Linked DNA regions of Diceros bicornis minor. The protein of the gene in region 2 binds, or shares a complex with, the protein of the main gene of each other region. Links are inferred from orthologs where the notes say so. Each region holds a gene or a part of one and is shown on either strand. Other genes may lie near its edges.

The links.
Region 1: USP39 (region 2) and SART1 share a complex: the UniProt entries of both Homo sapiens proteins name them as parts of the U4/U6-U5 tri-snRNP complex. The link is inferred for Diceros bicornis minor from reciprocal best matches to the Homo sapiens genes USP39 and SART1.
Region 3: USP39 (region 2) and LSM3 share a complex: the UniProt entries of both Homo sapiens proteins name them as parts of the U4/U6-U5 tri-snRNP complex. The link is inferred for Diceros bicornis minor from reciprocal best matches to the Homo sapiens genes USP39 and LSM3.
Region 4: USP39 (region 2) and PRPF4 share a complex: the UniProt entries of both Homo sapiens proteins name them as parts of the U4/U6-U5 tri-snRNP complex. The link is inferred for Diceros bicornis minor from reciprocal best matches to the Homo sapiens genes USP39 and PRPF4.

What each region holds. Positions count from the first base shown.
Region 1 is NC_080770.1:7,333,577-7,340,677, forward strand, and holds the start of SART1 (U4/U6.U5 tri-snRNP-associated protein 1), read right to left. Parts: upstream 3,019-7,101; 5' UTR 2,955-3,018; coding exon 2,630-2,954; intron 759-2,629; coding exon 701-758; intron 300-700; coding exon 244-299; intron 1-243. UniProt on the Homo sapiens protein: Plays a role in mRNA splicing as a component of the U4/U6-U5 tri-snRNP, one of the building blocks of the spliceosome. May also bind to DNA.
Region 2 is NC_080751.1:4,384,696-4,392,132, forward strand, and holds the start of USP39 (U4/U6.U5 tri-snRNP-associated protein 2), read right to left. Parts: upstream 3,003-7,437; 5' UTR 2,972-3,002; coding exon 2,704-2,971; intron 1-2,703. Other genes in the region: C12H2orf68 (UPF0561 protein C2orf68 homolog), read left to right, coding at 4,736-4,842, 4,920-5,038, 5,961-6,112, 6,479-6,601.
Region 3 is NC_080741.1:88,655,356-88,662,518, forward strand, and holds the start of LSM3 (U6 snRNA-associated Sm-like protein LSm3), read right to left. Parts: upstream 3,020-7,163; 5' UTR 2,957-3,019; coding exon 2,936-2,956; intron 486-2,935; coding exon 375-485; intron 1-374. Other genes in the region: XPC (DNA repair protein complementing XP-C cells), read left to right, coding at 3,236-3,338. UniProt on the Homo sapiens protein: Plays a role in pre-mRNA splicing as component of the U4/U6-U5 tri-snRNP complex that is involved in spliceosome assembly, and as component of the precatalytic spliceosome (spliceosome B complex).
Region 4 is NC_080767.1:21,524,100-21,531,569, forward strand, and holds the start of PRPF4 (U4/U6 small nuclear ribonucleoprotein Prp4), read left to right. Parts: upstream 1-4,453; 5' UTR 4,454-4,534; coding exon 4,535-4,582; intron 4,583-4,607; exon of another isoform or gene 4,608-4,677; coding exon of another isoform or gene 4,678-4,704; intron 4,705-5,433; coding exon 5,434-5,614; intron 5,615-7,312; coding exon 7,313-7,470. Other genes in the region: anaphase-promoting complex subunit CDC26, read right to left, coding at 1,580-1,660. UniProt on the Homo sapiens protein: Plays a role in pre-mRNA splicing as component of the U4/U6-U5 tri-snRNP complex that is involved in spliceosome assembly, and as component of the precatalytic spliceosome (spliceosome B complex).

The DNA.
Region 1 (7,101 bases), on a different chromosome or scaffold from region 2:
CAACTGTGTGCATCTCTCACTCCACCTAACGCTGCCTCACAGCCAGCGTAAGGATGCAGTGCCAACTGTTCAAACTTACAGAAGAACCTGAGTCCCAGATCCCCATTACGACAGCAAGGAGGGGCCTCACGCCTATCAGCAAGCACACACATACACACACACGACCACTAACTGGGCTGAACCTGGACTCTAACCCCACTGTCTTCAGATGCCCCCCACCCCCATCCTCAGCCCCACACTCACCCTTCTTGACGGCATTGACCTCCAAGGGTTTCAGCCCCAACTTGGCCCGGAGCTTACTGAAGACAAGAGTACAACTGTTAGAAGCTGTCAAACAAATGGGGGCACCAAATGCATTTCTGGACAGACAGAGGGTGAAAACAGGATGGGAGTGGGTGGTCCTAAGGGTCCCAAACACAGCGCCTGACCCAGGCAGCCCAGGGCATTGGGAAGGGCACTGGCCTCCAAATCAGGGCACACCGGCGCTAAGCCCGGCTGCCCCTAACCAGTGGAATGCCATCCTTCCTCTTGGGGCTTAGTGTCCTCTTCTGTAACTCAAATGGTTGGCTAAGATGATTTCTACAGCCCTTCCCATTCCAATCAGAACGCTTTAGTGTGTGAGAGCCTCCCCAAGCAACTGCCCCAGGAGCCACCTGTCTCAGAAAAAAAAAACGAGAAACAAAAAGGAGACAGCACTTACTTGGTCTCCTCGATGCTGAGTGACGAAGCATCTCCCGAGCTGGTTTTGGAGCTGGCAGCTGGAACAACAAGGAGCACGGCTCAGGAGCTGAACACAGGGCAAAGAAGCCACTTCCTCCGCTCCAGCTGCAGGGCTGAAGATGAGGGCCCCTCACCAGCACGCGGGCCTTGCTGAGACACCAGGAAACAGCAGCCTTCTTTCACCCCAGTAACTCCCACTACTTGAGTCCCAGTGTCTGAGAACTCTGCCTCTTCTACGTACCTTCCTTTCCCAACCCTAAAGGTCCAACTTTCTGCATCCCTCACTCCGCCACCTCTCCACTTTTGTATATTCTGTGTTTTCAACCTGCACTGCCCTCCCTGGCCTCACTCTGATTGACAAATTCCTATCCAAACGCAAAGATCAAATGCCACCTCCTTCGTAAGGTCCTGCTGAATTATTGATCAGAATGAACTGCTCTTCCCTGAACTCCACAGCGCCGTCAGTTGCTCCTGGGTCTGTTTCTCCCCACAGGGCAGGGACCACGCTGACAGCATGACTGAATCCTCCGTGCAATTCACACAGTCAAGAAACACACTTACTGGTGCCTGCTCTGTGCGGGACGTTGGGGACAGAGAGACAAAAAAAGCATTTCGGACCTCCTCCACCCAGCTCATAAACAGCAAACAACTTCACTGAGCACCACAGACAGAAGCTAGACACCCTCAGATGAAGCTACCCCAACCAGCTGCCACCATGTGCTCACCCTTTCTGCATCCCTGCAACCTACCTCCTCCCCTTTTATCCCACCCGGACCCTGGATCCATCCCAACCCCTCCGGGCTCTCTCCAAGGTCACCAGACTCTTTATTTCTAAATCCAATGGATTCTTTGCAGCTCTGGTTTTGCTTGATCTCTTGTGGTGTGTGACACTGTTGATCACTCACTTCTAACAATGCTCTGTTCCCACAGATCCCATGACACCGGGTTCTATGCTTTTCCTGCCTTTTTGGCTACTCCACCTCCCTTCTTGTAGTATCTTGCTCCACCTACTACTAAAATATTGGTGTTTTGTAGACTCCACTCCTGACCCTGGCTTCTCACTCGTCAATCTTTTAGTGAACTTTATTTGACACCTAACTACTCATGACACCCAAACTGCTCTATCCAGGCCAAACCCTGGGTTTCTTCACACACATCAAACACAACACTCTCCAAAACTGAATTCATTATCTTCCCTGCAAAGTCTGCTTCTCTTTCAAACTCCTCAACATCTGTAGATGACACCAGCACCCACCTAGCTGCTCAAGCCAAAATTCAAGGAGCCATCCTCCATTTCTTCTTCTCCTTGCCACCCTCACCCAAGCGTGTTAATTCCTCCTCCAAAACACCTCTTCAATTTGTCCACATCTCTCCATCCCATTGCTGCTGCCTTGGTGCAGGCCACCATCAGCCCTCACCTGACCTCCAGTCTTGTCTACCCTCGATCTAGGTCTCAATGCAGTGATCTTTGCAAAATATGATGGACTCGTTCCTCGACTCAAATCCATGGCTCCCTACTACTCTCAGGACAAAGTTCGAATTTCGGAACAGGGCCTACGGCACCCTTCGTGTTCCGATCCCTGCCTATCTTACAGCCTCCCGTCTCTATCGTGAGCCCTACAGGATTCGCCCAATACCAGGTTTTCTCTTGCCTCTGCACAGGCTACTACCACTTCATCCGTTCATTCATTCACTCTGCACATTTACTGAAGGCCCTTGATGTACCAATTGCGAAAAACAGAAAATCTCTGTGCTCACAGAGCGTAACAAACGAAGACAACCTTTAATCTCAAATAACCGTAACAAGACTAAGCGCTGAGAAAAACAGCCTGGGGGGTGCCTCGGCCTGAAGGCTGGGCGAGCCCACCCGGGACCTCCGCCCCGCCCCCGCGCAGGCCCCGCCCCTCACCGGCTTCGTAGCCGTCATCGCGCTTCTCCCGCTTCACGCGCCGCTCGGAGGGCTCGGCCTGGCTGCGCTCCCGCCCGTGAGTGCCACTGCGGGCCTCGGCTTCGGCCCCGCGCCGCCCGCCCCCGCGCTCGCCCCCACGCTCCCGGCTCCGCTTCCGTCGTTCGCCGCCGCCGCCGCTGCTGCCGCCGCCGCCGCCGCCGCCCCGGTGCTTGTGTTTTTTGTGCTCTCGGTGCCGCGGCGGCTGCTCGGTGGCGCCCCCGGTGCTGGCCGCCGCCGTCGTCCCAGCCCCCTCCTTCTCCCCGCGATGCTTCTTTGACGACCCCATGGTGGTATGTCCGTCCCGAGCCCGGCCACCGCCGAGCCCAGACGACGCAAAATGGGAACACTTCCGGGTCGCCCGGCAGCCGCTGTCGTGTTGCCGGAAACCAAGAGCGGCTGCTTCCGTTGTTCCCCTCGGAGCCTGCCCCAAAGGCTCATGGGAGGGCCAGGATCGGCGCCCGACTGCGCATTCGCGGCCGCCTCGGGCGGGCGGGCGGTCATGGAGCCTGTGGTCCCCTGGCGCGTGCGCTCTTCTATGTTCGCGGACCCGGTCTGGAGAAGACCGGATCCCAGAACTTGAAGGACCTACAGGCTGTCTCAGTCAGCGTCCCCGGAGCTGGAAGCCCCTCCCCGGCTTCCCTCCGCTTGCACACCCCCAGCCACGGGACGCTCACTGCCTCACAGACTTTCCGTGGACAGCGCCCGCCGCTCCAGTAGGCGTCCTCCTAGTGGACTACTCCCTGGGGTCGTGGCTCCATCCAGCGTTGGACGACGCAGCATGTTCTCCTCCTGAGACCCACAGCCCGGCCTCCGAGCCCCTACAACCAGTATTGGCAGCAGACCCTGCCTGCCCACGTTCCCTGGATTGGGTTTTTAACCTGCGCCCCGTGAACTGCTAAGGAGCTCCAGATGAGCTTCTGTGTGTTGGTGAACCCCCTGAAATTGAGTGCAAAATTTGGCGCATCTGTGTGTGTGTGTGTGTGTGTATTTCTTGAGAAGAGGGGCTCTAACTTGAAGTTATTTAACATTAAAAACCCAGCTCACACGGTTCCTCCTGACACCCACACCCCACAGTTGCTAGATCTGGCGGTCCCTGTGCAGTCCATCTGTTACGGTGTGATGCCTGTGCCCCTTTAAAGGTCCGCCCCCTCCCCCACCGGACTGGGAGTCGCCAAAGGCAGAGGCCATTCTGTCTTACTCGCTCTTGAATTTCTAGAACCCAACATGTATGCTGGCGACTGGGGGTGGAGGAGTCGCAGCTGTTGCTCTTTGAGACGCCCCCCTCCTCAGGAGCAGAGGCGGGGCTGTGTGTGCTGGGAGGGGGCAGCCAGAACAGCGGGAGCTCCTGGGGGATGCGAGAACAAGCTAAGCCGGCTGCCTACCCACCTACCGCCTGCTACTCCCAACCCGCAGCCTCTTCCCACCACCACTGGAAGTCTCACGCTGTATTTTCCATAAAGCGTTTAATTTTTCTCAGGGACTGGACTTCTGGTCTGGGCTTGGGTGGAGTGCCTGTCAGGCTGGCTGCCGGTGGGTTCTGTCCTTGGGGGGCTCTGAGAAGAGTGCTCCATTCTCACCCCTGTTGACCTGTGTCTCCTTAAAGATGAAGACACAGATAGAGGTCACTGCGCTCTGCAGTTCGCCACCCTCATGCCCAAGGAGACCTGGGCTATAGGAGGGGAAAGGCCATTGTCACTGATGATGTGGGTTCAAATCTGGCTCCTATGCTATGTGACCCTGAGCCAGTGACTTCCTCTCCTTGAGCCTTAGTTTCCTTATTGTGAATTGGGCCTCATAATCCCTGCTCTGCACTAGGTTCTTCTAAAGCATAAGGGACAGTATACCTGGGGTGACTGGAGTGGCACTAGCCCATCATGGGGCCTTGGTGTGTGGCCACTCAGATGGCCACAGGTTCCCAGACTGGCTCTGCTGCTTATTTGCTCCTGTGACCTTGGGCAAGACCCTGCCCTTCAGGTGCTTAGTTTCCTCACTGGGAAGTGGGGAAAATAACCCTGGCCCTGTCTTCCTCAGGCGACATGGAGGACAGGGCCTGGGGAAGACCCTGCTGACTGCTAGAACTAGTCCTCCAGACCTGGGAGTAGATGGGGCAGGACTGAAGCTTAGATTAAGGGTGGATCAATGTGGCTTCCCACGGAGTCCCTCTGCCTTTCCCCAGGGCAGGGAGACAGAGTTCAGAGGGCTGGTGATGGCGCCTCTTCTCCCCGCAGCTGGGCAGAGCCGGTTCCTTGGTCAGCTAGACGGTCTCACCTGGGTTTCCTGGAGGTCCCCTCCTTGTCCCCCTTTCCCGCCTCCACCAGCAGCTGCTCCTCATCCAGTCCCAGTGCCGACAGCACCTGGGAGAAGCGCCGGGCCACAGTGAGCCGGGCGTTGGCCTGAGGAGAGAGAGGAGGGGTTCCTGCTCTGCACCAGGGCTGCCGAGGACACAGTGGGGCTCTGGGTACTGAGGGCGTCCCAGGGCTTCCAGATGGGCAGCAGCCAGGGGTCCCATCTAAGGGGGCCCACTCCCACCTTGCTTCCTACCCACTCAGCCTGGGAGAAGCCCTGTGCCAGCCCTCACCTGCATGGCCTGCTGGAACAGGTAGGGCCGGGCCTGCACCCTGTGCTGGATGCCCTGCAACTCTGCCTGGTACTCAGCAAAGCGCTGTCGCTCCTGGCGCCTGCAGGGAGACAGGCCTCTGGGCAGCTAACCGTGGACACAGCCATCCCCACTCCTGAGCCCACTCGTCCTCACTAAGGACTTTATGTTTATGTTCTCTGGCCGTTGCCTTTGCAAAGCCATTTCATTCCCATCCTCACCCTGGATTCCTTCTGAGGTCAGTGGGGCAGGAGTTATTTGACCCATTTTACCCTTGATGCACCTGAGGCTCAGGAGGGTTGAGGAACCTGTCCAAGGTTGCACAGCTGGGAAGTGAGAGACTGAGTCCTGAGCCCAAGTCTGCAGGCTGTGCAGCCAGGGCTCCCCCAGCCTTGCAGCCACCCCCAAGGGAGAGGGGCCATCACTGGCTTCTGAGCAACTGGGCATCTGCTTGCACAGCCTCTCCTCTCCCCGTGTCCACACCCCTGCACCCTTTCACACTGCACCTGCGAGGAGGATGCTGTGGCCTTGGGCAAGGCCCCACTCTGGGCTCTGGGCTCAGTTTTCTTGTCTGTGCCATAGCAGGGACTGGACAAGCTTGCCAGCATCCTCTGTGGTTCTGATAAGCAGACAGCTTAGCAGTTGGGACAGAAGAACTAAAGAAATGTGTTGCAAATGAAAAGAGCACATCCCAGAAAGATCAGGGTTCCACTGGGGAAGCACAAATCCATTTACAAAAACCCAGTTTGTGCGCTTGTCACAAATGTGTCTGCTCAAAAAGCTGAGCATCCTGGCAGCAAGAGGGGCCCTCTGGCCACACCGTGCTCCGGACCAGGCATCCTTCTGTGAAGCACATAAGAGAAGCCGAGGGGCGTGGTGGCAGCACCCACACACAGGACAGGAGAGCAGCAGGCAAGAATCCGAGACTCGTGCTGGGACCTCCAGCAAGTATGCTGGGCCCCATGGAAAAACACTGCCTTGCTGTGGACCCTTGGTTATGTGCCAGGGAAGGACGCCACCACAGCATGGCTTGATGAGCAGTGTGTAGGTCTGTGTCCAGAATCCGAGCCTGCGAACCCCCGGCTGCCGAAGCGGAGCGCGCAAAGTTAACCACTACGCCACTGGGCCGGCCCCCCACCTTTTTTTTTTTCATGGTCAAACTATAGGAAGAGAAGAACACTGATGACTCTTCACTGACCATCAACAGTGGTCGTCTCCAGGAGTGGGATCACAGGCGCTGTTCCCATTGTACAAGAACAATTTTGGTAATATTTGAACTTTTGTAGTAAGCATGTCTGGCATTTGAAATCGGAAAAACAAGACTTGAAAGTGTAATAATGCAGGTAGAACATTTTAACCTGAGCGTTCCACAGCTGCAGGGCTTGTTATTATTAACTGGGTGACCTTGGCCCGGCCCCTTCTCCTCCCATGGCTTAGTGTCTTCATCTGTAGAGTGTGGCCCGCCTGCCTGGGCGGGAGGGTGGCCGTGGAGTTTCAGCCCTGAGGGAAGGGGAGGGCTGGGTCTCCTTGGTCCTTGTCTGACACCTCACACTGCCTCCCTGCCCTCTCCCCACCGGGCCCTCCGCAGCCCTGGCCTCCTACCTCAGCTCCTCCAGCTTGTGCTGGGCAGCCCCTGGCCCCCGGCTCCCTCTGGGCGCGTAGGCTGCCAGGCAGCGAGCCACCTGCTGCTGAACCTGCTGCTCCCGGGCCCTCCGCAGCTCAGCCTGCCGCCGCTCCTCCCGCTGCTGCCGCTCCCAGGCCTGCAGCAGGCTTCTTGGGGGGTGAGAGGGGAAAAAAGAGGGATGGGAAAAGTCAGCTGGGCACAGGCGTCTCAGAG
Region 2 (7,437 bases):
CAGGCTGTGAAAATGTGAAACTCACACTCAGGGTCAACTACTAGTACAAACAAAGAAACGTAGAAGTGGGAAAAACTAATCAAGATGAGCTCCTATAAAGGTGGCCTGGCAACACCAAAAAAAAAGCCCACCAATAGAACAAGCCACAAACTCTAAGAATATATGTGAAACACATATAACCAACAAAGGATTCATTTGCAGATTACATAAATAAATCTGGTGAAGCAATAAGAAAAAGACAAACAGTCCAATAGAAAATGATGAATACAGCCCACAAAGATGCTCAACCTCATCAATATTCAAGAAAATGCAAATTTCCTTGCACAGTGATGTACCACTTCACACCTACCAGAGAGGGAAAAAGAAATCAGAAAATTCCAAGTGAATATGTGGAGCAATGAGAATGCTCATGTACAGCTGGTGGGAGTATAAACTTGGAAAATAGTACAGCAGAATCAAAGCTGAAAATATGCAGACCCTCTGACCCAGCAAGCTCTCTTCTATTTACATACCCTAGAGAAATTTTTGCACATGTGCACCAAGAGTGCTTTACTAAAAAATATTTATAGCAGCAATATGTGAAAGGGCCCAAACTGGAAACAACCCAAATGTCTGCCACAAATAAAATGGAGAAATAGATTTTGGTGTATTAATGGAACACTATGTAGCCATGAATATCCACCTGGATGAACCTCACAAATATGCCTAGTTAAAAAAAAAAAGGCAAATCAGAAGACTACATACAATACGACTCCATTTATATCAAATACAAAATAAAACAGTGTAACTTAAGGATACATATATGAAATAAAACTATAACTAAAAGTAGAAATGATTAGAAAAAAATTCAGAACAGTGATTACCTAAGCAAGGAAGGAAGGCAAGCACAACTGGCAAGGGGCCTATGGGAGCTTCTAAGGTACTGACTCTGTACCACTTCTTAGGCTGAACAGTGTTAGGAGGCAATTCTCCATGGGTTTCCCATGTTTCTGTACATATTGTGACCAGAGGCACTGACTGTCTCCAGACTATCTTGTCAAGGATGTCTGTATAGTGAACAGCCTTGGAAGACAGAGATAGTGTCTTCCTACAGAGCAAACGAGAGGCAAACTCACAGCCCATTATAAAAGATTCAGGTTCTCTAAGTTCAGAGTTCCTCTCCTGTAAGGCCACCCATGGTGTGTATGGTTCTCTTCATGTTGTACTGTGGGAACTAACTCGGGAAACTGACACCAATGCTATTCTGGTTATTGCTGCAATAAACTGTCTCAGACCCAATAGTCCCATGTCTTACATCAGCATCCACGACACTGTGGCAAGCTAACTTGGTAGTTTCACACCGGGTAAAATCTCAGATCCTTCACAATTCTTGACAAGTGTTAGATGTACATCCACTCTCTTCTTTAAACTGTACTTATACATTATCACATTCAGTATATCTTAGTACCTGCGATCTATTTCACAATAGAAATAAAAGGAAAAAAACAAGACAAGACAGTAACAGCAACTGGGATCCTAGGGTGTCCCAAAGAAAACAATCCTTACCAAAACTATGCAAAATATCTAAGAAACAATTTCTCTACCAAAGAAAGGGAAAACTGAGGCTGCAGAGTATTTAAGTAAAGGAAATCAGAGAATACCCTGAAATTATCAACTAGATTATTCAAAAATATTTATCAAGTACGTTCTATGAGCAAGGTGCTATTCTGGACCCTGAGTGTAATACAAAAATATGTCAAACACAAGACCCTGAGCAAGAAACTTAAGAGCTAATATAAGAGTATAATCATATACAAGTAACCAGGACCAGAGGCAGAATTATAAAGTCTTGGAGAATGAGGACCCCTCCCTCCACAAACCCTGCCCCCAGCAGGTAGCCCAGTGACACACTCACCTGCTACTTCAATAAGCTCTTGCTAATCCACCAAAAAGCAAGTATCTAGGAACACGTTCAAGTCAGGAGTTCCAAGTTCAGAGAAGGAAAAGATGTAATTGGTATAAACAGAAAAAGCTTCAGAACTGGTGGAAACCTACTTAATGATTGGTAAGATATCAACAAGTTGGAAAAGCATACACTACAGACAGGGAACCAAGGCTGGGCAAAGAGGTCTCTAGAAATTACCAGAAGCAGAAAAAACCCAGGAAGGAAGCAAAGGATGCAGTCACGGAGGGGAGTGACAGCCTTACTGGCCATTCTTAGAAGGGCTCTCAAAGGTCAAAGGTTCCAGGACTACTTGCACTAATTTACAGACGGACAGATAGGTGAAACCCACGTTCCCAAACCACAGTGACTCAGCCTCAGTGGCAGGACCAGAATCCAGATCTCCTGGCTACTACAGCCCCGGATAACGGGGCAGTATGTTGCAGGTGCCAGCGTTCAGGCTCTCGACTCTGATCTAATTCCGGAAATTACAGCAGGACTCACTCCCAGATGTTTTGTAAAAACTGAAAAAGGTAACACCTGTAACATAAGTAGCACAGCGCCTGGCCCGAGTTAGGCATTCAATAAAGAGAAGCTGCTACCGTTATTTTTGTTGCTAAAAGTATCAAATTACGGTTATTATTAAAACTAGTACTAGCCTCACTAAAACGCAGTGGAGTCGGGACGCGGACACTGGAGTGTGACCCCCCCCGGGGAGGGAAGCTGTAAAGAGAATAAGAAGAACGAGACGTGGAGCCCGCGCCCGGCCCGGCCCCGCGCACCTCGCACCTCCCGCTCCGGCTCTGAGTCCTCGTCGGCCTCGCGCTCCCGCTTCACCCGCACCGCCGGGACGACGGGCGCCGGGGCCTCGCGCGCGCTCACCGGCTCGACCTCCCGCTTCACGCGCACCGGGCTGCCCCGGGAGCTCGGCGCTTCGGTCTCCCGCTCCCGATCTCGCTCCCGCTTGACACGACCCGAGCTGCCCCGCGACTCAGACTCCCGCTTCCCGCGGGTGGAACCACGAGACTCCCGCTTGGAGCGGCCAGACATCGCCACCACCCGCCGACCAGCCCAGCGCCGGCGCCAGGCACGCTCGAGTGCGCGGCACGCGGCCAATCAGGAGCGGCGCTGTTATCGAGACCAAGGCTCTCTACGAGTCGCCGATGGGGACAAATTATGTCGCAGGAAATTTCTGGGAAGTACTGCGCCCCTTGTGGCCTTTTTGAAGCTGTGTGCGCACCTGAGAACGACTTATGGGCCAGTCGTTCTTATTGCCACCTTACCCATAATTTCCAGCTTAAAGAGGCAAGAACCTTTTACTGGCTGCAGAATTTCTGGATAAAAGAAGCTGTCATGGGCCCCAGATTTCTTCAAGATCACTTGTGCCCCGAAACCAGAATTGAGAGATCGTCTCCACAGTCTCTGCGCCTCGGAGACTGACCCTTTCCAGGGGAGAACTAGGCGACATCCCCAAATTATCCCCTTCATGCAGCAACCCAGAGGCTCTAATTCCACATTTGGAGGGTTGTTCTCCGTATCACAGAAAAATGCAAACGTCGGGCAGAGCAGGACTTAACCATGAAGCTAACAAAGCTCAAATCTCAGGGCCTGTTACTTTCACGACCCCTTCCACGGCCCTGAACTACTTTGTACAATTCTACTGAGGTGTAATTGGCATACAATACACTGCACGTTTAAAGTGTGCAATTTGCTAAATACTGATGGGTGGATGGATGGATACACTCTGAAACCATGGCCACGATCCAGGTATGAACCTATCCACCAGACCCAAAAGTGTCCTCCTGCCCCGACCATTGATCTGCTTTGTCGCTACAGATTAGTTTGCATTTCCTAGAGTTTTCTCTAAATGGAAGCACACACAGCGTGCCCTCTTTTTTGCCTGACCTCTTTCACTCGGCATATGTGAGATTCATCCACTTTATTGAGTGTTATCAACAGCTGGTTCCTTTTGATTGCTCAGCGATAGTCCTCCGTGTGGATGTACTAGTTTGTCCCTGTTCTAATCACGAATTCCTAATTTTGTCTTTTTTAACAGAGGACTCGAAAATCGCACCCGCTCAGACCCTGAAAAGCCCTGGGTCCTCCCGCGGGGACCGTTAAGACGTAGGTCCGGTGGGCCCCGAGGCGGTCTGGGCGGCGGGACCTGCCAGTGCTCGGGCGCTGGGCGTGCTGGGAGGGGCGTCCCCGCCGCCGACAGCGCGGGGCCCCGGGGTGGGCCGGGACTGGGCCCAGAGAGCCTTCGCGGGGCTGTGCGGCCGGGGCGCCGCTGTGTGCCCTGCCCAAGCACTCGCCTCCTCACAACCTCTTTTGAGGTAGATGCTCTCAGTGTCCCCATTTACAAATGAAGAAACTGAGGCACAGTGGGGTTCAATAGTCAGCCGAGGTCACGGAGCTGGTGATGGAGTTTCACAGCACCCTATCACCAGAAAAAGAACGAGAAGGCTCCACGACGAACGCTGAGTATGCAATGTGTGCTTTATATTTTTCTGAATTTTTGATGTATCAGCCTAAATCCTTGTCTCCCGTTGATAAATGTCACAAAGAAAAGCAAAGCAAAGCCCCACCGGTGAGCTGAAGTCGCGCATGCCCCATCCGCCGATCCGCGCCCGGAACTCAGCGCGCGGGGACGCTGGGCTGGGCCGGCCCTTTCCGGGCGGGACGTCAGGGCGCGGGGTCGAGAACCGAGCGAGGGGCTGCGCCGCCTCTTCCGGCGGGACGGCGGCCGTTGGGGCCGTTGCGGCGGCGGCGGCGGCGGCGGCGGCGGCGGCGGCGGCTCTGTGCCCTGGCCTCCAGATGGAAGCGGTGCCGGATCCCGGGCCGCGGCTCTGCTGCAAGCCTGGAGGGCGGCTGGACATGAGTCACGGCTTCGTGCACCATATCCGAAGGAACCAGCTCGCCCGGTACCGCCCCGCCCCGCGCCGCCGCCCCCAGCCTGGCCCGGCCCGGCCGTCCCTGACTCCCGCCCGGCTCCCCGCAGGGACGACTACGACAAGAAGGTGAAGCAGGCGGCCAAGGAGAAGGCGAGGAGGCGGCACACGCCCGCGCCGACGCGGCCCCGCAAGCCCGACCTGCAGGTGTACCTGCCGCGACGCCGAGGTGAGGCCGCCCGCCCCGCCTGCCTGCGCAAGCCCGCGCGCTCTGCCGGCCCGGGCTCTCTGCCCCGACGCACTCCCTTCTCTAGAGGGAAAAACCGCTTCTTATTCCCCGAGGCTCAGTTCGTCTCGTCCCTTCCCGGGAACACCTCGACGCTCCTCAGTCTCCGCTCAGTGATGCTCTCCGCAGAACAGGGAAGGTTTATGGCCCCCACTTAAGCGTCATTGTTATAGGACACAACGGGAAGCCGGCAAGAAGTTGTGTGTCTGCCGGTTTGCCCCACCATGACTATATTTCCGTATTCCCACTACCTCACAGAGAGGAAGCCTGGCATAGTTGTAAGCGACCAGGACATAATTGTGGAATGAAGCCCAAACCCCGTAAATGGCCTTTCTCCCCAGCTTCCCTGCAACCTAGGAGATCACAGTAGTTATCACATGGCGCTAAACTTGTTGAGCGTTACTTAAAAGTGCTTTTAGAGCTTATGGACGTTGATCACTTAGTTTTCATAGGACCCCATAAAATGGAAACTGTTACATTTTCTATTTCACAGTTAGGAAACAGGCACAGAAAGGTTATGTAATTTGCCCAAGATCTCAGAGCTAGTAAATGGCAGAGCCTGGATTTGAACGCAGGCAGAGCTCTATCCACTTCTCCACTACTTGCCAACTGTATTCACTAGACAAATGTGCATTGTGTCCCTACTGACTGTGCTGGCCCAGGAGCAAGGATACAAAGGTCAATAAAACTCCTGATTGGTGGCACACTTCTCTCTCTCTCACTCACTCACACACACACACACACACACACACACACACACACGGGTCTGTAAGAGGATTGGGGCTTTATGTTTTCCTGTCATCTCTGTGGGCAAGGACTCCAGCAGCTTTCCCCTCTTCCCTCTCACTCTGGTTCATCCTTCCAGATGTTTCTACCCACCCAAGCAACCCAGACTGTGAGGAGTCCGGTGAAAGCAGCAGTAGTGGCGGCTCCGAGCCAGAGCCTTCTGGCCATCAGCTCTTCTGCTTAGAGTATGAGGCAGACAGCGGAGAGGTCACCTCAGTTATCGTGTATCAGGTATGCCTCATGGAAACAGCTGCAGCCTGAAGGTCCTGGCCCGTGGTAGAAATCACTGCCAGACCCTGAGCCACTGTTTTCCTCAGTGCCAGTGGGAAGTGTCTGCTCCACAAGGGAGCAGAGACTGCTGGGCGATGCTTTTGAGCACAACTCACTCCCATCACACAGTGATTCTCAGTGGGCAACAGGTAGGGCTCTTGGCCCCCAGATGAGAGTCACTATTACAGGGGACACCTGGGAAATGACAGGCACTGGCAAGAAGCCGTGAGTCAAAGGAAATTCTCTGAGAGTGTTCTCTAGGGACAGGGTAGGTCGCCTTTCCAGAAGAGGCCGGGCCCTGAGCTTCCTGACTCTTCCTCCACGTAGGACGATGATCCAGAAAGGGTGAGTGAGGAGGTATCAACACACACGCCTCTGGATCCACCCATGCGAGAGGCCCTCAAGTTGCGCGTCCAGGAGGAGATTGCAAAGCGCCAGAGCCGACACTGACCAGGCTGAAGGCATTCTCTCCAGGCTGGATTCACTGCCCAGGGAGCTCACCCCTAGTTTGGGGGGTACCAGGACCAGTCTGGGCTGATCTTGAGACCCCCTCAGAGCTGCCACATCCACAGGAAAAGGGTGTTGCAGGGACTATGCCTGGCCACCTCCCTTGTAGCTATTCTTGTATGTTGGCCCATTTGACCAGCCTAATAATTCTGGAATTTTTTGAGAATTCTCTTTGGCTAGCTTGGTGTTCTGGAAGCAGAGATTCCAGGGAGAGCTGAGTTTTATGGAGCATTGTGCCAACATGCTGCTTTCTCAGTGAGGTCATATGCCGTGGAACACCTGGCCGCTGCTGCTCCACGCGGCTCCCCAAGCCATGTTTATTTTATGGCTTCTTTCTTCTGTGCTTCTGCTCACTTCTATGTTTCCCTAGATCTTTTTTTCAGCTCTGTTTCTTTGTTCTTTCCTTTCCCTCCTCTTTTTGTCTCAGAATCCATCAGTTCCACCCCACCCCCCACTTCCCAATATGACTGTGTACCTCCAGCCACTCAGGACTTTGGAGGTGGGGGGTTCTGGGAATCTACCTTTCTCACAAGCTCTCCCACTAATTCTGATACCAATCAAGTGGGAGAGCTTCATTTTTGAGGCGTACTTGCAAGCATGTCTCCCTCCCCTTCCATGGCTTTTGCAAGTTTTTCTCATGCTGAACTGCTGTGCCCTGTCCAAATAAGGAGACCTAGGAAGATGATGCCAGATTTCTTACAGCAAAACCTGCCTTGGTTAGGGCTACAGAACTCCAGCTTTTAACCTCATCCCTAGTTGTGAACAGACCATCCTCTGCT
Region 3 (7,163 bases), on a different chromosome or scaffold from region 2:
AAACACAAATTTATGTATATGTCAGTAATTTAAAAAACATTTAAATAAGAATGGAGGACAAACAAATGTTATTTAAAAATAAACAGAAGTGAAAAAATGAAAGAAATGAATATGTTCTTTAATAAACATTTCTGTTAAGAGAAAACACGTTAAAAATATGAATAAATTATAGCTGTATTTGGCTTGTAGAAATATGGGTGACTTTCTACCTCCATCTCATCTACACACTAAATACTCTTCCACAGTGGACAGTTTTTACATTTCAAGCGGGTGAGGGTAGGGAGGGATGAAGAGGAAATAATCTGATTTCCAGGTAATTTAATAAATTTACTTACATGTAATCTACCACCACGTAATTTAATAAATTTACTTACATGTAATCTGCCTCGAAGCTCTCTGTCATTTCTCATTTTCACATAAATTCGCTCATCCAGGCTGAGCCTGATGAGATCCAGGGGCTCTTCTACGGTGTTGGTAGTTTGTTGCTGATAAAAGAAACAGGCTTATGATACAGTACTAGAAAGAGCGTAGTGTTTGAATCATTGCTATGCTGTGACTGTGGGCAAGTTACTTAACCTCTCTATGCCTCAGTCTCTTATCTGTAAACTGTGGATGACAATAATGCCTACCTAACACTGCTGTTGTGAGCCTTAAATGACATATATGAAGCCTTAGAACAAAGCCTGGCACATAGTAAGTGTTATATAAACGAGAGCCAAAACATACATCCACAGGAAGGAGTTACACAGCAAAGTTATCACGGCTGTACTTTGTTCCCTCAAAATCCAAACTGCCTGACCCAATTTCAGGGTATAGTGAGTCACTCTCAGGGACTTTAGCCCTGTCTCAAATATCATTTAGTAATTTGAAAAACATTCACTTAATGACTACCACACACTAGTCAGAACGCCAAGCAGTGAGGAAGGTTTGAGGGAGACCACGAGGTCAGTACAGGGCAGGTTGAGTCTAGGGTGCTGAGTGGCTGGTAAGATGCATATATTTAGCAGGAAGTAGAGAATACTGGTTGAAAGTACTAGCTTTGGAGTCAGGCAGTGTGAGCTCAACTACTGACTCTGACACTTATATGAATTGAGATAAAAAATCATGCCACCTCTAATTCTCAGGTTCCTTGTGTGCAAAATGAAGAAGCCATAATTTTCCTTTCATGATTCTTGTGAGGAATAAATGAGCTAATGTATTTAATTAACGTATTTAAAACAGTACCTGGCAAACAGAAAGTACTTATAAATGGTTCAGGTTATTACTATTAAAGAACTGTTGGAAACAGGTCTCAGAAAGATCAGGGCTAGGATGACTTGGGGTCATCCATACAGAAGGGAGAAGCCAGGAGAGTTGACGAGATTACTGAGCTTCTTCAGGGAGTACATGAGGCCAGGGGAGGAAAGTGACCCAACACTGCAGGCTCTACAGCCTTAAAAGGTTAGATGAGAAAAAAAGCAATCCTGACCTCAATTGGGCCCCACCCCAGTTCAACAGGCGTTTGTTAATGGGCAGCTAACCAACTACTGGATTACAATGACACAGCAGTCAGTCCCTGCTCATTTTAGTGGGGAGAGGCAAATAAATAGACAATTATAATATTGTAAGAATATACTCATGACAGAGCCCTACGGCTCCTTTAGCCTCAGTCTGGGATGCCCACGGTCCACACTTTTCATCCTGTAGCTTTAAATACTGCCTTTTCAAAGAGGCCTCCCTAATCATTCAATTCATTCACTCAATAAGTATTCGAATGTTTCCAGCACTGTTCTAAAACCTGAGAACAGGGGCCTGCCAAGTGGTGCAAGCGGTTAAGTGCACGCGCTCTGCTGCAGCGGCCCGGGGTTCGCCGGTTCGGATCCCGGGCGCGCACTGATGCACTGCTTGTCAGGCCATGCTGCGGCGGCGTCCCATACAAAGCGGAGGAATATGAGTATGGATGTTAGCCCAGGGCCAGTCTTCCTCAGCAAGAAAAGAGGAGGATTGGCAGACGTCAGCACAGGGCTAATCTCCTCACACACACACACAAAAAAGTAAAACCTGAGAACAGAATAGTGAATAAAACAAAATTCTTGCTCTTAAGGAACTCACATTTTAGCGGAGGGAGAGAGACATCAAACAAAGACACATACACTTAATATGAACAGATAACACGCTATGAAGAAAAATAAAGCAGACTGGGCCTAATGCTATTTTATGTAGGTGGCCAGAGAAGCCCTCTTCAATGAGGTGAGGTTTCACTAGAAAGCTGAAGAAGCTGTGGCCTGATCCACAAAGACACCTGAGGAAGAGCATTTTGGGAAGAAGGAAGAGCAGGTGAGAAAGCCTGTGGGACCATCAGTTACTCTCTACACCAGTTCCTTGTTTGTGTCCTCCATACCACATCACAGTGCCTACATAACGCATATATTTATGTTTACCTTTCATCTATCCTCCCCCAGAATATAAGCCCAAGTGGGGACAAGGGTCACGCATGTCAATGCCGGCGTCCTTGGGGCTTAGAACGGTGTCTAAGCAAACGCTGATGTTCACTACGTATTTGCTGAATGAGTAATAACGGTTGCGCTCGATAACGATAACTCCTTACTATCACGCTTTGTATCAGAATCCCGACAGCTCCGCGAGGCAAGCAGGAGTAATTATTCCCATTCTACAGATAAAGGTCAGAATGAAGACAAAGGGAGCGACGAACGGGAGGAATAACTAGTTTTCAGGCGGGCTTCGAACTAGAAAAGATCTCAGGGCTTGAAGCAAAAGTCGCAGGGGGCGCGGTTAGCAACGGGCCGATTAAGGCCATGGTGACCTGGAAAGAGGCGGCACGATCGGCCACCTTCCCGTGAGCTTCGAGAAAGCAACCGTGGTACGCAAAGCCGAGCAGGGCCAGGGCTGGGAGAGGAGAAGCCGCTCCGGAGCGAGCTCCCTAGAAGACACTCACCTGGTCCACGTCGTCCGCCATGTTTCAAACCCTGCGCCCTTCCTTGCCTCTCGCGAGAGCACGCGAGCTCCCTCCTGTCTCCGGAAACGCGAGGACGCAATGCACCGGAAGTGCAAAGAAATCTGTTTTGCACCTCCTTGCTTCCCGCTGTTCGCCTTGGTCTTTTGGGGCTGGGGCGGAGCTTCCTCTGGGGGCGGAGGCTTGCCCTGTGAGGAAGGGGCGTGGCTACGCCTGGCGCAGCCAGGGGCAGCTTCCCGCGGGGTGGTGCGTCACGCGAGCAGCTAGTGTTGCCCGGGCAGCATGGCTCGAAAGCGCGCAGCTGGCGGGGGCCCGCGGCGACGCGGGCTGCGGGGCCAGAAAGCCAAAGGGAAGAGCGTGGCCCGGCGTGAGGAGAAGGAGGCGGGTGAGAGCGAGGCTGAGCCGGGCTTAGAGGGGGATGCCCGAGGGCGGGAGACAGGCCCGGGTCGGGGAGCGGGGAGGCCGGCTCCTGGAGGTGGGGGGCCGAGGAGACCGCGTTACCGGGGCCAAGGGAGGCAGGCGCCGCCCAGGTCCTCCCCACGAGGAGTGATGCGCCCTCAGCGGCTCCCCTGGAGCCCGACCCCATGGGAGCTGCCCTGCGTAGCCTCTTTCCTGCTCCCTGTTGCCCACAGGACAAAGTCCGGCCTCCTGGCGGATGCCGAGGGCTGAACAGGGGAAAGGCAGTGCAGTTATTTTGTGTCCCCAGAAGACGGATGGACCAGGACGTAGAGTGCAGTAGTGTGCTGACTCCCAGAATATCTTCAGCTAAGTCTCACCCCAGAGTTCCAGATTCGGATCCAACCTGACTGACTCCTCCACGTGGATATCCAATAGACGTCTTATATTTGTCATGGGCAAAGCAAAACTCTTGATTTTTTCCCCTGTAAGCCTGTTCCTTCCCCGCCTTTTCCCATCTCAGTAAATGATGCCTTCACCTGCTTGTAAAAGCAGACCCCTGGTTTTCCTTACACGCACACATCCTGTCAGTCAGCGAGTCCTGTCAGTCAAACCTCTGAACTAGATCTCCACTCTCTCCACTTCTCTTTATTTCCGTGGCCACAGCCTTTGTCCAAGCTACTGTCACTTCTCAGTTGAAGGACTGCGGTCACCTCTTTACTGGTCTCCCTACTTCTTTTCATTCCTCTGCAGTAGTTCTCCACTCAGCAGCCCAAACCATCTTTAAAAAAAAAAAATCAGATCATGCCATGCTCCTACTTCAAACCCTTTGTGGCTTCCCGTTGCTCTTGGTGTGAAATCCAAATTCCTCACCATGGATTACAAGACCCTACATGATATGGCTGCTGCTACGGCTCCTGTTGTCTCCTACCACTCTTCTTTGCCAGATACTCTCATTGGTGGCCTCCTTTCTGTTCCTCAAACATGCCATGTTATTTCTCACCTCAAGCCTTTGCCTTTGATGTTCCTTCTGCTTAGAATGTTCTTCATGGCTTTACTGTGCCTGATTTCTTCTATTCCTTTAGGTGTCAATTCAGACACTCCTTGAGCGTCCTTTCTAAGGTGGTCTTCCCGGGATACTCCCTATCACACAGGCCCTCAACGCCCCTGTCACCGTCTGTAATGATCTTCTTAATTTATTTGCTTCCTTTTGATTGCCTGTCTTACCAGACTTTAAGCTTCATGAAAGCATGTCTTATTTTTTGCAGTATCTTATCTTGTCACTCTCCCCATATACTAAGTGCTCAATAAATATTTTAAATAATTGCAAAGTGCATGCTGTGGAAAGGATTTCTGGGCTTCCTGAGATAACTGGGTAGAAGGTTAGGTAACCAGCAAGGACTCAGACACTAGATTCAACAGTTCTGTGATTCTGTATATAAGTTCGTCGTCCATTAGGAAATAGTCAAATGGTAACAATTTTTAAACTTAGAAGGTGATTTACCTCACAATGAGTTCCATTTTATTCATTCATTTACTCATTCAGATAACATTTTCTGAGTACCTACTGTGTGCTGTACATGGGCTAGGTGACATGGGGGAGAGATTTCATGGAGGAGCTTAGAATATAGTAGTGTTGACATTTACAAAAAATATCCAAGGCAGAGTACGCAGGGTCTGATATTGGAGAAGGTGCAAGGCTTTGTGGCTTCTGAAGGAATAATCAAGTTTGACTGGAGAGACTGAGGTGTGCTCTCTGGAGGAGTTATGTGTGATCTGGGATTTAGGATGGGTAATATTCAGCAAATGGTCGTGAGAGGGGGTTGTATTCTAGTCAGAGGGAATGCGTTCTGAATATGTGGCAATTCAAAAATTAAAAGCATTCCTCCCAGCTAAAACACTTCACTTGGGCACCAGTTTGGTGTAGCTCCAATGCTTGGTAGTTATATGCACTTAGGTAAATTATTTTGGACAAATAACACAGCTTTTCTGAACCTTGTCTGTGAACATACTACTATCTTGCAGGGTGGTTGTGAGTTTTCAGTAAGAGCATATAAGGCTCCTGGCACGGTCCATGTTACATAATCATTCGGGTTAGCTCGTAACAATTCAGCCTAAATATAGTTAAGGATGCCCCCAAGCTTCACTGAAACTGCCAGCCAGCGGAGCTAGCAGTAAGTTCCCAAGGCAGCTTCCGGGAAGAGTTGCAATCTTTGCTGTGGTTGAGGGGAGGAGCAGGCGTGGTTTGGGCTGCAGGTGACACTGATTTGGTGATCATTGAGTGTAAGTTCTAGCAGCACCTCGGGGCATGCAAATGAAGGTGATGCGTGGCTGCTTTCAGCAGTTAGGGACAAAGAAAACATTTCTTCCACATTATTTCCTTGTTTCTATTAGGGCACCTCTAGTTTCTTCATATTTCTTCTCTGTGTTAATGCCTTCATTGATGTAATTCATTAATTCCTTCAACAAATATTTATTGAGCGCCCACTGTTCCCAGGCACTGTTCTAGGTACTGAAGTTATGGTAGTGAACAGAACAGGCAAGGTCCCTGCTCTCATGATGCTTATAATCTTTGGGGAGGAGTAGGTAGGGCAGACAATAAGACGTTAAAAAATAAATTCACATGGTGATAAGAGCTATGAAGAAAATAAAACAGTTGCTGTAATAAAATGGGCATGGGGGTGGGGAAGAAGCAGCTAAGTCAGAATCAGTCGTCAGGGAAGGCCTCTGCAAGGAGGTGACATTTTGAGCCAATTACTGAATGCCCCGATGGAGCCATTCTTAGGAAGTTGTGGGGGAAAAGGCAGAGGGAACAGTAAGTTTCAAGAGTTTCGGGGGGGGGGGTGAGCTTCGCCATTTGGCTGGACACAGTGAGTGAGGGGGCGAGTGGTAGGAATTGAGGTGAGAGAGGTTGTTGGGGCCCTTAGCTTGGAGAACAAGCTAAGGAGTATGTATCTTATTCTAAGTGCTGTGAGATGCCACTGGAAGGTTTAAGCAGGTATTCTTATTAAATCTCAATTGATGACCAAGCCAGCCACAGTGGTAATTCCTGTCCTGCTGAAATAACCATGTTGAGCTCAGGGAGGCTGGTTAGACAGATGAGATAACTCCAGACCTTTGAGTCCTGGAAAATAGCCTCTGGATTCTCTAGGACCAAAAAAACACAGCAAAGGATAAAGGAAAAAACAAAGTCATCCATATTTCTACCATCCAGAAATAACCACCACTAAACAATGGTATATTTCCTTCTAGTCTGTGTTTTTTTATGCAGTAGAAACTCCCTGTAAAAATAACTTTGCCTGCCTAATATTTTATCATATATCATTTTTCTTTGTCTAAAAGATGACTGAATTATATTTCATCGTGTGACTGTACCATAATTAATGATTATCTCATGATTGGTTATTCACATTAGTTTTTAAACTTTTGGATATTATGAATATGAATGATTTTTTTTGATTCACAGTTTTTTGTTTCCAATTCCCCCCCCTTTAACTCCTCTACCTCTCTCTTCAAAGCACAGAAATATACAGCTGTGCCTTATAACCAATCAGATCAGTTTGGTGAGGAAGAAACAGTGTCTGTGAAGTATCCTCCCACTTGGGTTTTTAGATTAGTAAAAATGAAGTATTAGCATCTTTGCTTATTAATAGAGAGTAAAGACCATTGTAAGATCCAGAAATCCTGATTTTAAGGGCACACTACTCAAACCGTCTAGTCAAACCTTTAAGCAGCTTCCGGTCTTGGAATAAGAAATCTGTTCCCCAGATTCTAAATAAGTAATTTTGAAATATTTTGTTTTTCAAAATTTCTC
Region 4 (7,470 bases), on a different chromosome or scaffold from region 2:
CCCATATAAAGTAGAGGAAGATGGGCACGGATGTTAGCCCAGGGCCAATCTTCCTCAGCAAAAAAGAGGAGGATTGGCAACAGATGTTAGCTCAGGGCTAATCTTCCTCAGGAAAAAAAAAACATATCAAGCTCCTACTATTTACAAGATGCTGGGAACTAAGTGGTAAAGAAGACAGACATGATTTCCACCATCAAGGTTCCTAATGTAATTGGTTTTACAATAAACAAACAAATCATTGTAAATTATAATAAATGCCATGAAATAAAAGAATAAAGTGCTGTGAGAGACCCTAATGAGATGGAGGCAGCATGGATAGGATTGATACAGCTAACTAAGATAGGCTCAGAAGAGGCCTGTCAGACTAAGGAAATGACATTTAAACTGAGACATGAAGAGAGGGGGAGCACTAAAGGCAGAAGGAAATAATATGTGCAGAGGCCACAGGTAATGAATAGTTTGGCATCTTGAAGGAAATGAAAGCAAGCCAGTGTGCCTGGGGTACAGAGGGCAAGGCAGAGTGGCAGGAGGTGAAACCTGAGAAGGGCCGGAACAAACACATCTTGTAGGCCATGATAAGGAATTCAGATTTTATTCTAAGTGCAGAAAACCACTGAAGAGTTTTAAGGAGAGGGATGACATGATCTGAAAATTTTTAAAGATCATTCTAGATACCTGATGGAGAATGGATTGAAGAGACAAAAATGGAAGCAGAAAGACCATTTTTAGGATGCTACTGAAATTGTACAGAGAGATGATGGTTACTTGGACTAGGGTTGTGCAGTGGAGATGAAAACATGGGTAAATTCTGGAAATATTCTGGAGGTAAAATCAAAGATTTATGGACAGATTGAATACAAAGGGGGAGGAAAAGGGGGACTCAGGTTTCTGGCTTGAGCAACTGCCCAGAGACTGAGATGGGGAACACTGAGGTGAAACTGGTTTGAGGAAGAAATCAAAGAGTTTTTTGTTTTAACATGTTAAGTGTAGTAGGCTGAATAATGACCCCCAAAGCTATCAGGTCCTAAGCCCTGGAACCTGAAAATGTTGCCTTATATGGGAAAAGGGACTATACACATGTGATTAAATTAGGGATCTTGAGGTGGGGGCGTTATCCTGGATTATCTGTGTGGGCCCTAAATGCCATTACATATATCCTTATTAGAGGGGCAGTGGGACACAGACAGAGGAGAAGGCAATGTGATCAGGGAGGCAGAGATTGGAGTGATGCAGCCACGAGTCAAGGAATGCTAGCGGCCACCAGAAGCTAGAAGGGTCGAGGAACGGATTCTCCCCTAGAGACTGCAGGGAGCACAGTCCTGCTGACACCTTGATTTTGGACCAGTGATACTGATTTCACATTTCCGGCCTACAGAACTGTGAAAGAATAAATTTCTGTTGTTTGAAACCACCAAGTGTGTAGTAATTTGTTACGGCAGCCACAGGAAACTAATACATTAAGTTTGAGAGGCTGTAAAGCGTCCAAATAGAGATTTCAAATAAGCTGCTGGTACAAGAGTCTGGAGTTCAAAAGTTGGAGTTTTAAATATTCCTAAGGGTTTGAAAGTTGTGCTCTTACCTCCAGGTCCTTTCGAATGCTCTCAAACTCCTCAATGTCATCAAGCTTCAGCTCCAGGCGGGTTGGTTTTCGTCGCAGCATGTTGAAATCAACATCAAAGGCCAGACCCAGTGAACTATTAGCTGTTAAAAAGGCAGAGAGAAGGAAAAACTGGAGGGGATAAATCTCAGCTGCAAATGTAAGATCAGTTTGTACGCATGCTTGCTAAAATGAATGGCAATAAAAAAGATTCATTTGGGGCCGGCCTGGTGGCGTAGCCCTTGAGTGCGAATGCTCTGCTGCGGCAGCCCGGGGTTCGGACCCGGGCCACACCGACGCACCGCTTGTCAAGCCATGCGGTGGCGGCGTCCCATATAAAGTAGAGGAACATGGGCATGGACATTAGCCCAGGGCCAGTCTTCCTCAGCAAAAAGAGGAGGATTGGCAGATGTTAGCTCAGGGCTGATCTTCCTCACAAAAAAAAAAAAAGATTCATTTGGATTCACACATAGACTTCTAAGACTTTTGGTGTATGATTATTACATTTTTATTACATGATTGAGATCCACAACTTTGTAATTCCAAAAAACTCTTTCTTCAAGAACTTAAAACGCCAAACTACCTATAAAAGAGAATTCTAGGTAACAATCACTTTAATCTCATGCTCCTGTCACATTCAGAGAAATATTCTAGCTAAGAGAATAAAGTTAAAAGATCACATCTTAATTCAGTATAGTCAGTGGGAGAGTATATAAGCCATTAAATTTGATCAACACTACATGAGAATTGTGAGAGATTTGTGATCACCCCCAAATGCTAAAATAAATTTACTAAATCTCACGAAAACTCCCTCTAACTCACCAATTCACAGAGTTGTCCTAAGGATCTAATTAGGTCCTAAATGGATATGTCATTCATTAAACAAACAATTCTTGTGCTCCAGCTACAGAGTTAAAAGGCACAGTCACAGTCAGTGGGGAAAACAAACACATAAACAGAAAATTGCAACACAGTGTAATAAAACTCTGGCAAGGGTAACGCAATGGCACCAAACAGGCACCAATCCAGTCTGGGCTGAGTGTGAGATGGACAGGAATGTGGAGGGCTTCCTGGAAGAGATGATGTCTTAGTTGACTGGTTAAGGACAGACAGAGTAAAGAGATTAAGGGCATTCCAGGCAGAGAGAACAAATACGCAAAGAGGCTCAAGAGAACCCTCCAGAGCTTGAAAACCCTAGGTAATGCTTATGCTAACAAAAAACATTTTTTTGAGAAGAAAATAAAACTCCCCAACTGAGTTTAAAATCTGTGGATTGCATCTTCATATTCTCCACAGCATCCAGTAGAGTGTATCTATAATCACCAGTCAGTAAACGTTTTGTTGAATAAACTGAGATCCAATTAAAGTGAAATGAACTTTTCTTCAGCACTGTGCTATGCTTTTCCATTCCCATTCTTTACATTTTTATTTTAACATAGAAACTGTGACACCAACAAAATTACCCCTATTTTACAGATGACGTCGAAGCTGTTCAGTTTGGTTAATAAATGTCAGCCTCCTATAAAAATTATACATACGTTCCACGGTGAGGATTGATGTAAGATGATTGATGTAACTGACTAATGTAATGAGAATGATGTAAGTGAAAGCTCCTTTAAAGTTTTTACAGACATAAATTATTATTACATGTATCCAGGATGTATCAAGGACTGTGAAATATACAAAGGAAGAAATGTTTCCTTCTCCCACGAAGCTTAGGTGATATTATCAGATAAATACAGGTGATATTATCAACCCAAAACACCAGCACATTACATTTCAAATTGCTTTACATTAAATCAGATAATATCTTGATTCCAGTGTAGGCAAGTGGTAGAGGGAGCCAAAGTTCGAGGGGGGCGGTGGGAGCGGTGGATGCGTAAAAGAAAGAAAAAACTGCTTTGCATTTTAACTCTTCGGCAAACTGTGAAAAATTCTATGAAGCAATATAGAGTAATGGGTACAAGTGCTCTCTAGAGGCAAAAGGGCAGAGGGCAGAGGTTCTAATCCCATCCACCACTTATCACAAACAATTAGCTTCATCCTTCACTGGATTTTAGTTTCTGTAACCGTACTCTGTTGTTGTATGGATTCAATGACGTAATGCAAAGTAAGTTCCAGGAACATAACTTGGCATTTAGTAAACGCTCAATAAATAACAGCCATTATTATTGTAATTGTCCTTGGGCGTAGGGGCGGGGAGGGGCTCTGTCAGCTCGGGAAACACCAACATTTTAAGCATCTCCACCCTCGCCATGGGGGCAAAAGCCTCGTCTTGTTCATCTCTGATGCCCCAGCACGCAGCGGAAGGCAGGGCCATGCAGAGTTGCTTGCGTGCAGATTACCTGACGCCTCACATCCATCATCTCACTCTGAATCTGATACAAAGACTGGGCTGAAGACAAACAACAAAATCAGGCCCTGGCTCCTCCGCCGGGTCTTTATTCTACTTTGGAGCTAGAGTGCTCTTCGAGCTGTTTCTCTCGCCACTGCTCGAATTCATCCAGCTCAGAGGGAGCCCCTGGCAGAGGACTTCCCGACAGCGGAGAACGAGCACAGCTCTCCTTCCGCAGCTCCAGGGCAGCACCCGGGGTCCAGGGTGACGGTTTCCATGGCAACAGGGACCTCCGCTCCAGGATGACGTAAAGCCGCGCGTCGGGCCGGGAGGGACCGCAGGCCCCGGAAGCCCTAGATTCGCTCCCGAGTTCAGCCCGGAGCCGCGCGCCTCGACGCACCTACCTCTTTTCAAGGCTGCTCAGCCCCTTCCCAGAACCTCGGCGCCCACTACGACTCTTCTGCCAGGCCAGCTGGACTACACTTCCCAGACTACTCTCAACCTCTCTCCTCGCAGAACCTCGTCCTCCGCGTGCTTTCCTCGGAGGACTACAAGCCACGCCTCTCGACGCGCCCAGAATCTGTCCTACTACGACTCCCGTCATGCTCCACGCCGCCCACGATGCTGCGCCGGCTGTCGGCCCACTTCCGGTAGGTGACGCAGTTCCGCTTTGCTGGGCGCGCGGTGGACGGTCTGAAACGTAGAGGTCGAGTTTCGCTGGGGCTTCGCGGCTCCAGAGCTCGGCATGGCTTCCTCACGAGCCTCCTCCACGGTACAGAGCTCAGCTCACTCTGGCAGGGAGCGCCGAGGGGTGGGGAGTCCAGCGGGATGGGGCCGTTAGGGAACGGGCTAGGCGGTGGAGGTGTGAGGAGGAGCAGCGTGTTCCCGATCCCTCAGCGCTTTCATGCGCTTTAGCTTATTTGCATCACTCGCTACACCCGCGAACGGTAAATATCTCTTCCCACGGGTCCAAAAACGCAGCTCTGAAAGGGAGGACGTAGTGCCTTGGCCGAGATGTATGTCCGTGTCAGACCTCTTAATTGTAATGAGGCCTTCTTTCTTCCTATCTACAGCCTGACGTCTGAAAACGTTTGAAGTGTATAGACCAGCATCTTTGTAACTTGTTTCCCCCTTACATCGCCTTGGCTATTTCAGTTATCCTTGATATTTCCCCTGTGATGAGCAATAACCCTGGAAGTGTCGTAAAACCGCAGAAGACATTGCACTTCCAACAGAATGAAGTAAACGTGTTTAAAAGCAAACCTTTGATAGGAAAATCACCAAGAGAAATGCACGAGTATCCTCAACTTCTTCCTGTCTGCAAAACTTAAGTGATTGAGAAACACCCCCCTCAATCAGTGAAAACGCATCTTAAGGTGTCCAACTTGTCGTTTCCGTTCGGGAAGAAATAGGACTGACGCTCAGGATGAGCCTCATCCTTTGGGGAAGGCCGGTAAATTGCTAAGGTGAAGCCTTAGGTTAATCCAGGTCTTTGATTTAGCAGGCGACCAAAACTAAGGCACCTGATGACTTAGTCGCTCCTGTTGTGAAGAAGCCACACATCTATTATGGAAGTTTGGAAGAGAAGGAGAGGGAGCGTCTGGCCAAAGGAGAGTCTGGGATTTTGGGAAAAGAAGGACTTAAAGCAGGAATTGAAGCAGGAAATATTAACATAACCTCTGGTAAGATGCAAATTGTGAGTCCATGTTTACCTTTGGTGCTCAACTTTTCTGTAATGAATACCTTCCTAAACTTAGATATCACTAGTTTTATAGTGTCATAAAATTGCAGTTTTAAACTTGCATCTGTGTAAGGTTTTACTTTGCCTACCCCGCTTATCATCATCCAGAACGCCTTTTTCTTAAAACCTTTTATACAGTTTTTCTTCCGTGAATTGTTAGTAATTTTGTCAGGAGTTTATTCAGCGTGTATTTGGCTTCAAAGTGATTCCGTTTGTCTTCTGGAGATCTAGCATAGTTCTGGCATTGGTTTGGAGCTACTGTCGTTCATAATATTCTCCGTTTTTTTAGTTTTGCAATTACTTTTCCCTCAAAATGAAATGTTTTTTAAATTATATAAGTAATAGTTATTTTTATTTTGAAAAATATCAAACAATGTAGAATTGTGAAGTATAAAATCCTGTAATGCTTATTAATTGGGTGTATATCTTTCTGAGAATTTAATAAAGCTATGAAAATGTATAATTTTTTTCCATAAATGAAACCATGATATACAAATAGTTTTGTAACTTGTATTTTATACTCTATGTACTATTGAGGATATCTTTCCATGTCAGTAACTGGTGGCCTACTGTATTTTTAAAATAAAATTATACATGTTTGTCATAAATTCAGACAGTACAGAATGGTATAAAATGAAAAGATTTCTTTGCAGAAAGGATCTCTTTCAGGTTTCTCATTGATCCTCCTACACATTTTCTTTTCTATACACATGCACTTTACAGACATTTTTAACCATTTATGCTGTTTTTAAACATAACTGCATCACCGCTGTTCTTCTCATTTTTCATCCAAATGCTTGTATTTGGTGTGAGTTTTAAAACTAGCTGCTAGAGGGGCCGGCCCCGTGACTTAGCGGTTAAGTGCTCGCGCTCCGCTACTGACGGCCCGCATTCAGATCTCGGGTGCGCACCGACGCACTGCTTGTCCAGCCATGCTGAGGCAGCGTCACACATGCAGCAACTAGAAGGATGTGCAAGTATGACATACAACTGTCTACTGGGGCTTTGGGGAGAAAAAGGGAGAAAAAGGAGGGGGAATGGCGATAGGTGTTAGCTCAGGACCAGTCTTCCTCAGCAAAAAAGAGGAGGATTGGCGTGGATGTTAGCTCAGGGCTGATCTTCCTCACAAAAAAAAAAAAAAAAAACCAGCTGCTAGATTATCCAAAAAGCCTTCGAGTCAAGGAATATCATTTTCATGGTAATTCTTTCTAGTTTACTAGTTTCATTTGTAAGTGTCCCGATACTGGGACTGTTTTAGAGAATAGCTTTGGCAATTGTTAAAACCGCATTTCTATTTTATCTTCTGGATAGAAGAGCCATTTAACTCATTTGCTAAAGATGCTCCGTACTCTTTCTCATCTCATGTAAGCTGTGTGTTTATATGGGTGTAAGGTTGCCAAATCAAACAACATGACTTGAACCATTTTCCTGCCTCTTAAAGCTGTATCATTTAATTTTCTGTGTTTGGCATAATTTAATAAACTGAGAAAGAGTAAACTATATCTATAAAGTGCTTAATAGATTAGACAGTTGACTTTCCCTAGTAGCATACACAGACTCTAATTGTGAGAAATTATTTCTTTTCCTCTATTTGAAGAAGATCTGGTGATTATGCTGATGTTTCCTGTTCTTTTTATAGGAGAAGTGTTTGAAATTGAAGAGCACATCAGTGAGCGACAGGCTGAAGTATTAGCCGAGTTTGAGAGAAGGAAGCGAGCCCGGCAAATCAACGTTTCCACAGATGACTCGGAGGTCAAGGCTTGCCTTCGGGCCTTGGGGGAGCCCATCACGCTTTTC